Drosophila melanogaster: one gene and its partner. The protein of the gene in region 1 interacts with the protein of each later gene in a biochemical or structural test. Each region holds a gene or a part of one and is shown in the gene's direction. Other genes may lie near its edges. The genes, in order: plu and png.

Evidence for each region.
Region 2: of the proteins of plu (region 1) and png, one has a biochemical effect on the other in vitro, tested with the Drosophila melanogaster proteins (one study listed by BioGRID).

What each region holds. Positions count from the first base shown.
Region 1 is NT_033778.4:20,262,165-20,265,546, reverse strand, and holds plu (plutonium), read left to right. Parts: upstream 1-1,862; 5' UTR 1,863-1,885; coding exon 1,886-1,901; intron 1,902-1,958; coding exon 1,959-2,363; intron 2,364-2,417; coding exon 2,418-2,521; 3' UTR 2,522-2,589; downstream 2,590-3,382. Other genes in the region: CG8908 (uncharacterized protein), read right to left, coding at 1-324, 389-615; RpS18 (ribosomal protein S18), read right to left, coding at 785-1,054, 1,115-1,300, 1,437-1,439; PCNA (proliferating cell nuclear antigen), read left to right, coding at 2,826-2,933, 2,994-3,382. UniProt on the Drosophila melanogaster protein: Inhibits DNA replication early in developments. May bind and block the action of a replication or initiation factor.
Region 2 is NC_004354.4:1,355,738-1,359,576, reverse strand, and holds png (pan gu), read left to right. Parts: upstream 1-1,975; 5' UTR 1,976-2,043; coding exon 2,044-2,919; 3' UTR 2,920-3,089; downstream 3,090-3,839. Other genes in the region: CG11417 (uncharacterized protein), read right to left, coding at 3,167-3,839.

The sequences.
Region 1 (3,382 bases):
ACCAAAAATCCCTCCACCTGATAGTAATCAACGTCCATTTTGGAGTGCTTCAAGATTGAAGTGTTGTCCCAAACCATCTTGGGATTCTTGCGTAGGTGAAGCGGAAAACGCAGGCCCACCGTGACATTAATCGGAAGCTCATTTATGTCGCTGAAGCTGTCATCAAACTCAATGCCCACGTAGCCATATGTATCCTTTCCTATCAGCGCTTTATTCAATTCAGATGCGCTGGCAAAGGCCTTACTGCCAACGGCCTTCAGATCGTGAACCACATCCTCGATGACAGCAGCCAAGACTAGATTCTCAGGTGAGTAGTAAATGTACCTGGTTGGTTCATGTGGTGTTGTCAGGGTGGCCTGGACTATTGTGGCAATCGGCTTATACATACGGCACTTTGGTTGTGATGTTGACGGGCGGGTACTTCACCGACGTCTCCTCTTGCGGCTCTCGGAACAAAGCCGTCGCCGCATAAACGAGGAAGACTACGATGGGCCCCACAATGATGATCACGCTGGTTAGCGTATTGGAGAACTGGAAGCGGGCCGTCTTGCATATGACCAGCCACAGCAGGCATATGCTGCTCTGCGTCTTCACCGGCGATTCACCACTGGACATATTCGTACAATTTAGATGACGCCAACACGTAAACAGATTAGAAATATAACAAACTTCACGTATACTCCGCACTAAAACGTTCCGGCTTCCGTGTTTTCTTTTATTTTGTGGTTGATGTGAAAATTAAAGTCGAATCGGAAATCCGTTCCGGCAGGGAACGCTGCTAAGCTTACTTCTTCTTGGACACACCCACGGTGCGACCACGACGACCGGTGGTCTTGGTGTGCTGGCCACGCACACGGAGGCCCCAGTAGTGACGCAGACCACGGTGGGAGCGGATCTTCTTCAGACGCTCCAGATCGTCACGCAGCTTCGAGTCCAAGTTGGAGGAGGTCAGCTGCCAGTACTTGCCATCGATGATGTCCTTCTGCCTGTTGAGGAACCAGTTGGGCACCTTGTACTGCAGAGGGTTCGAGATGATGGTCACCACCTTGTCGACCTGCAAACATGGCATTTAGGTTGGTGTGCGTCTCGAACGGATTGGGCGTGCTCAACTTACCTCCTCCTCGGTGCACTCACCGGCGCGCTTGGTAAGATCGACATCGGCCTTCTTCAGCACAATGTTGGAGTAGCGGCGACCCACTCCCTTGATGGCGGTCATGGCGATGCCAACCTTGCGCTTGCCGTCGATGTTCGTATTCATGATACGCAGGATGTGCTGGAACTTCTCTGGGATGACGAGCGACTGCAAGAATGCAAAGAAAAAACATTAGTATAATGCATATAAACCACGCCATTTTTGCCAACAGCTAACGGCATTTGCAATTCACTATAAATTTGTCGTTTGGCGCTCAGAATCGCACATATTTGAGGTAACTCACCATTTTGCCGTTTGTATTCTCGTATTTACTCCTCACTGTAAAGAATTAAGAGGTATTTTGTTTTAGAATTTTGGAAAAATCAAATGGGCAGCACACCACTCACCGGAAACGGGAAAAGAAAAGAAGGCCGAATTAATGTGGCTGCCTGAGGCGGAGTAAAAAACCTAAAATTGCCTGCCACGTTCGGGACGCGTGCTGTTAATAGTTCGCCGTGTGCTGTTAGGCGCACTCTGGTCCATCACTAATGCAAATTTAAAAATTCAAAAGGCGCCGAACTTTTGTTCAATGAAAATGCTTAAAGTGCCATTTAGATATGCTCTGTGTGCACATTTAAAAAATTAAACTTCATATTTTATGTTTCTTTATATTTTATATTTTATTCCCCACATTTCGTAATACGTTTTATCGTACTGCATCCCTAGAGCACCGTTATATGAAAGCTTTTCAGAATGGGTGAAATAAATGGTAAATTATATTAGCTATGCGAATTTCCAATATTGATAAAAATGCATTGCATTTAAGCACTCAGCTGCGTTGGACAGGACGATGTCGTTTCCCTGCGCATCGTGTGCACCATGGCTCGCGACGGCAAGCAGCACAACCTCGAGGATGTGGACATGTACGGGAATACCGCCCTATTGAAGGCCTGCTATTTGGGTCGATTTGAGTGCGCTCGTACGCTGCTGGAATTCGGTGCAAATATCTTTGCTATGAACTATTTTGGTCAAAATGCCCTGACACTGGCCACTTATGCTGGGCATTTGACTTTAGTAAAGGAACTGTTGAGGCGAAGATCCTACAAGGATTTCAATCTGTCCTCGATGATCCCGGCCCTCTGTGTGGCTACACTGCAAAAACACTCCGCTTTGGTGGCCTATTTTACTCAATTGGATTCGAGGGGCGTGCAAGAAACTCAAACAGTGCATGGTTAGTAAAAATCAAGTGTATTTATATAGTAACATTAAAGTAAATTTATTTCAGGTCTGGGAGTTGCAGAGCTGCGAGGAATGATTAAAGCTGCAGGCCGCTTAGATAAGCGCAATGTGCGCTCTCCTCCCACTTTTATTAGCAATCGTCTGCGTTAATGTATTGTCATTTTGTAATAATTTATTAATTTTAATGTTTGAAATAAATATACTCTGTAAAAAGTGTGAACATAATATGTTAATCAAACCAGTTGGCAGGCCGCTCGCTGGCTGCTATCGATAGATTCAGTCGATATCGCCCGTGGCTTTTCACATCCCTATCCCGCTCATTTAGCCCGCCTGAAAGTAAAAAAAAAAAACAGCCCACGTTAATCATTCATCCCAAAGTCACAGCCGCGGTAACATTACTGCTGTTAAATTCTTAAGCCCGTCATCAGTATTTAAATAATAAAACACATTCAATATGTTCGAGGCACGCCTGGGTCAAGCCACCATCCTGAAGAAGATCTTGGATGCCATCAAGGATCTGCTCAATGAGGCAACCTTCGATTGCAGCGACTCCGGCATTCAGGTAAAAATTGCACAAAAAAGATTTTAAATGCATATCCCTAACACCTTGTTCAACTTACAGCTACAGGCCATGGACAACTCCCATGTGTCGCTTGTCTCGCTGACCCTGCGTTCCGATGGCTTCGACAAGTTTCGCTGCGACCGCAATCTCTCCATGGGCATGAATCTGGGCAGCATGGCCAAGATTCTGAAATGCGCCAACAACGAGGACAATGTGACGATGAAGGCGCAGGATAACGCCGACACTGTCACCATCATGTTCGAATCGGCTAACCAGGAGAAGGTATCGGACTACGAGATGAAACTGATGAACCTCGACCAGGAGCACCTGGGCATACCGGAGACAGACTTCTCGTGCGTGGTCCGCATGCCGGCCATGGAGTTCGCTCGCATCTGCCGCGATCTGGCGCAGTTCAGCGAATCCGTTGTGATCTGCTGCACCAAGGAGGG
Region 2 (3,839 bases), on another chromosome or scaffold:
GTGAGGGTGCTCGATCACCGATTTGCGGTGAGACGAAAGAAAAGTATGCATTGTTGCGTTGTAAAGAGAGCCGGCGCTCGTCTTGTTCACATTGTCGCTGAGAACGTATGTCGTTTTGATTCATTGTTCTAAGTCCACATATAACAATTACCAGAACAATATGGAATAATTATTTATTTTAGTAAATAATTACTATAGTCAATAATTGTTAGTTGTGCAAACTGCACTTTACACTTTGTGTTTAACTTTCACTATACTGTTGTAGTTTTTAGAACTTGCTATTCGTAGCTTGAAAGAAACACGTCTCCACCCGAAGACTGTGGAATGCCGAACGCGCGCTTTAATGCTATCTAAAATTGACTACGGACTGCCAATCTTCGGTTGGTGTGCTAAATCACACTTAAAAAAGCTACAAGTCCCATATCACGGAGCGGTCCGTCGCGCCATTCACGCATTTCCCACATCTCCAGTAGCGTGCACATTGGCAGAATCGGGTCTCCCGAGTATCCAATCACGCGTAGAAGAAACTACATTGATGCTTATCCCGAAGCTGTACACCACGTCAAACTGCCTGCTAACCAAAGACTTCGGAGCCATATTTAAACAAAAACGGAAATTCAAGTGCATATCCACCCTAAGACGTTGCGCCAACTACATCAAGCTACTTGACCTTCCCCTGCCTAAGCCCAGGAGGCCCTTCAAATCGCCAGCACTTTGGGGTTCCAAACAGCCTAACATAAACCTTCAAATATACAATGCTGCCAAAAAGGATACAGGTCGCCTAGAATACCAAAAACGTTTTATGAGCGCACAAGAAGATCTTGGTGTGAAAAACTGGATCTACACCGATGGTTCTAAAGTCACCGGCGCAACTACTTTTGCGGTTGTTGACTCTAACCGTAAAATAATTGCAGGAGGTAGGCTTCCGTCCTACAACTCCATATTTACAGCCGAAGCTTTCGCCATTCTCAAAGCATGCCAATTCGCTTCCAAAAACGCTGGAAAATCTGTTATCTGCACAGACAGCCTCTCCTCTCTTTCCGCTATACGCAACTGGAACCATAATGACCCCACAACACAAGAAGTTAGGCACATTCTAAGTTCTCACCCAAAAAAAATCACCTTACTCTGGGTTCCCAGTCATCAAGGTATTCATGGGAATGAACTTGCTGACAAAGCCGCCCAAGAGATGAGGCTTACACCATCAATCCTGTTCACTCCGTTTAACTCCAAGGACCTAAAAAGTCGAATCAAGTTATACCTCAAAGAAAAGAAACTCTCCGAATGGGCACTCTTCATGCACAGGTACCAGTCTATCAATCCGAATTGCATCATGTTCAAGCCACCAACGAACGTACATAAACGGGAATGCGCGACCTTTATCCGTCTACGCATCGGGCACACCCAATCCACACATCAACACTTACTGATGAGATCGGCGCGACCAACATGCCAACTATGCGGGGACGAGCTCACCGTTGACCATATTCTCAACGCCTGCAGTCAATTGCACTCAATTAGATCTCACTTATTTGGTACACATAGTCTCTCGAATTGTTTAAGTATCCCATCCTGTGAAAATATCTCAAAAATTTACAAATTTGTCCAAAAAGCTAAGTTTATTATATAAAGCAATTAACCCATAAGTCTCGAGTCGAAGGCCCCCGTAGCTAGTACTCATTAAATTTAATTAGGTTTAGTATTGTATACTATATTTAATTTTGTTAAATAAAATAAATAAAAATTTAGGATAGTCATACTTTTCACATGGATGGACTTTTTGAATGGGGTTAGTTCACGATGCGTTAGTTTGATTAATTAACCAGACTCTAATAACTTACTTTCATTGAGCACTGTTGCTGCTGGCCAGATGAGCAATTTTCATATGGGGTTTCCGAAGTTCCGAGTTTTCGGCTTTTTCCGATGGAACTGTGCATCTCTTGTTTCGAAGCAATCGATAGATGGCGCGCTTGCGCTTTTGCTGGCTAACTGTACATCAAGGCGGGATCGCGGATTACGCTTTCGGAACTCTGCGCACTCGAGATGGAACTGGGTGACTCTAAGCTGCGTGCGGTAAGGGTGCTGGGCCAGGGCACCTTTGGCCGGGTCTTCCTCTGCCACCAAAACGAGGTGCGCGGACAGCCGGAGAGGAAGGTGTGCGTGAAGCGGATCATCGTCCGGAATCCGAAGACAGAGTTGGGATTGATCAAGGAGGAGGTGTACATCATCTCGCAGCTGCGCCACCCGCACATCGTTGAGTTCCTGCGCTCCTTTAGCCACGCGGGCACTGTGAACATCGTGATGGAGTACGTGCCCAACGGCACCTTGAGGGATGTCATCCAGCAGCTGCCGTCAGGCACCGGGGGAGTCAATCAGGAGCGGCTGATGGGCTACTTCCGCGACATGGTAGTGGGACTCGAGTACCTGCACATCCGCTGCGTCATCCACCGAGACATCAAGCCCGAGAACATGCTCCTCGACGCCAACGACCGCGTCAAGATCGCCGACTTTGGGATCGCGAACGTTCATGCGCCCAGCACTCAACTGCAGGCGGGCATGGGCACGCCCATGTACATGGCCCCGGAGGCGATGTCCAGCCAGGGCAAGGTGGATTTCAAGTCGGACGTGTGGTCACTGGGGCTAGTCCTCTACGAGCTGTGCCTCGGACGCAGCCCCTTCGCCGCGTTTCTCGACAAGAACGCCACCCCTGCCCTACTGCACACCGTAGTCCAGGCGCTGGTCCGCCCCCGGCTCGACTGCCAGCTCATCCGGCGTCTCTACGATCCCGTGTGGGCGCAAGTTTGCGAGCTGATGGTCGTTTACGAGCAGGAGCGCCGCATCTGCCTACCAGACATCTTCCACCTCGACGCCGGCATGACTGTGACCCTCTACAAGCATTACTTCAGCTACAGCTACTAACGGAAGCCAATGGTCAGCTCACCAGCACGAGGAGACCTCAACAAATATTTCATTGTACTTAAGAACTAGGCTAGCTTAAGCGATAAATTAAGGTGTGTGCTGTGCTTTGTGTGCGCCTGTGCTTTTGCCAGGGGATCTGTCAGCTATAAACAGTATATAATGTATATTCCAAAACAGTCTCGCTCAATGTCATTAACGTAGTCTTTAATTTACATTTGTTCACCTATTGTACAGTAACATTAATCCTCTAAAGCTTCTGGCCCTGCTGCTGCAGCTGGATCTTACGCTTCAGACTCTTTACCAGGGCGTTCTGCTCCAGCTGCTGCTTACTCCTCTTGGGGGCTACCTGCTCATCCCCATCCGCATCGCCGTTTGCAGCGCCGCCCTCCCCCTGCTCCTTTCTGCGCTTTAACTTCTCGCCGATGATCTGCTGCATGCCCTTGGTGGGCTTGTAATGGGAGTGGGTGGGATCGATGTTGTACTCGTGCGACTTGTAAACGGCACTGAAGCGATTATCATTCAGGTTTACCTGGAAGTCGTCGTCCAGCTTCTCCGCATTCTGCGGCTGATTTTTCGATTTCTTTAACTTCTGACGACGCTTTCGCTTTGAACCGCTCGCTTCTTGCTCCTCCTTCTTGAGGATTTTGGTCAGACTGAAGTGTTGCTTCTCGTCGCGCCCGTCGCCATCGTCCAGCAGTAGCTCAAGCTCCTTCTCTTGCCGCTTCGCCTCGACGTCCTCCTCTCCATCGTCCTTTCCCTTCTTTTTCTTTTTCTTCTTGTCCTGCTTCGTTTTAGGGGGAGCGTAGTCTCCATTAGCGAACTCCTCGGCGAAATAGGCGTCATTCAAATCGATGCCATCGGGCACCATGGACTCATCGCTGTCCTCACCGGCATCGCCTCCTCTGGCTTCGATCTGGCGC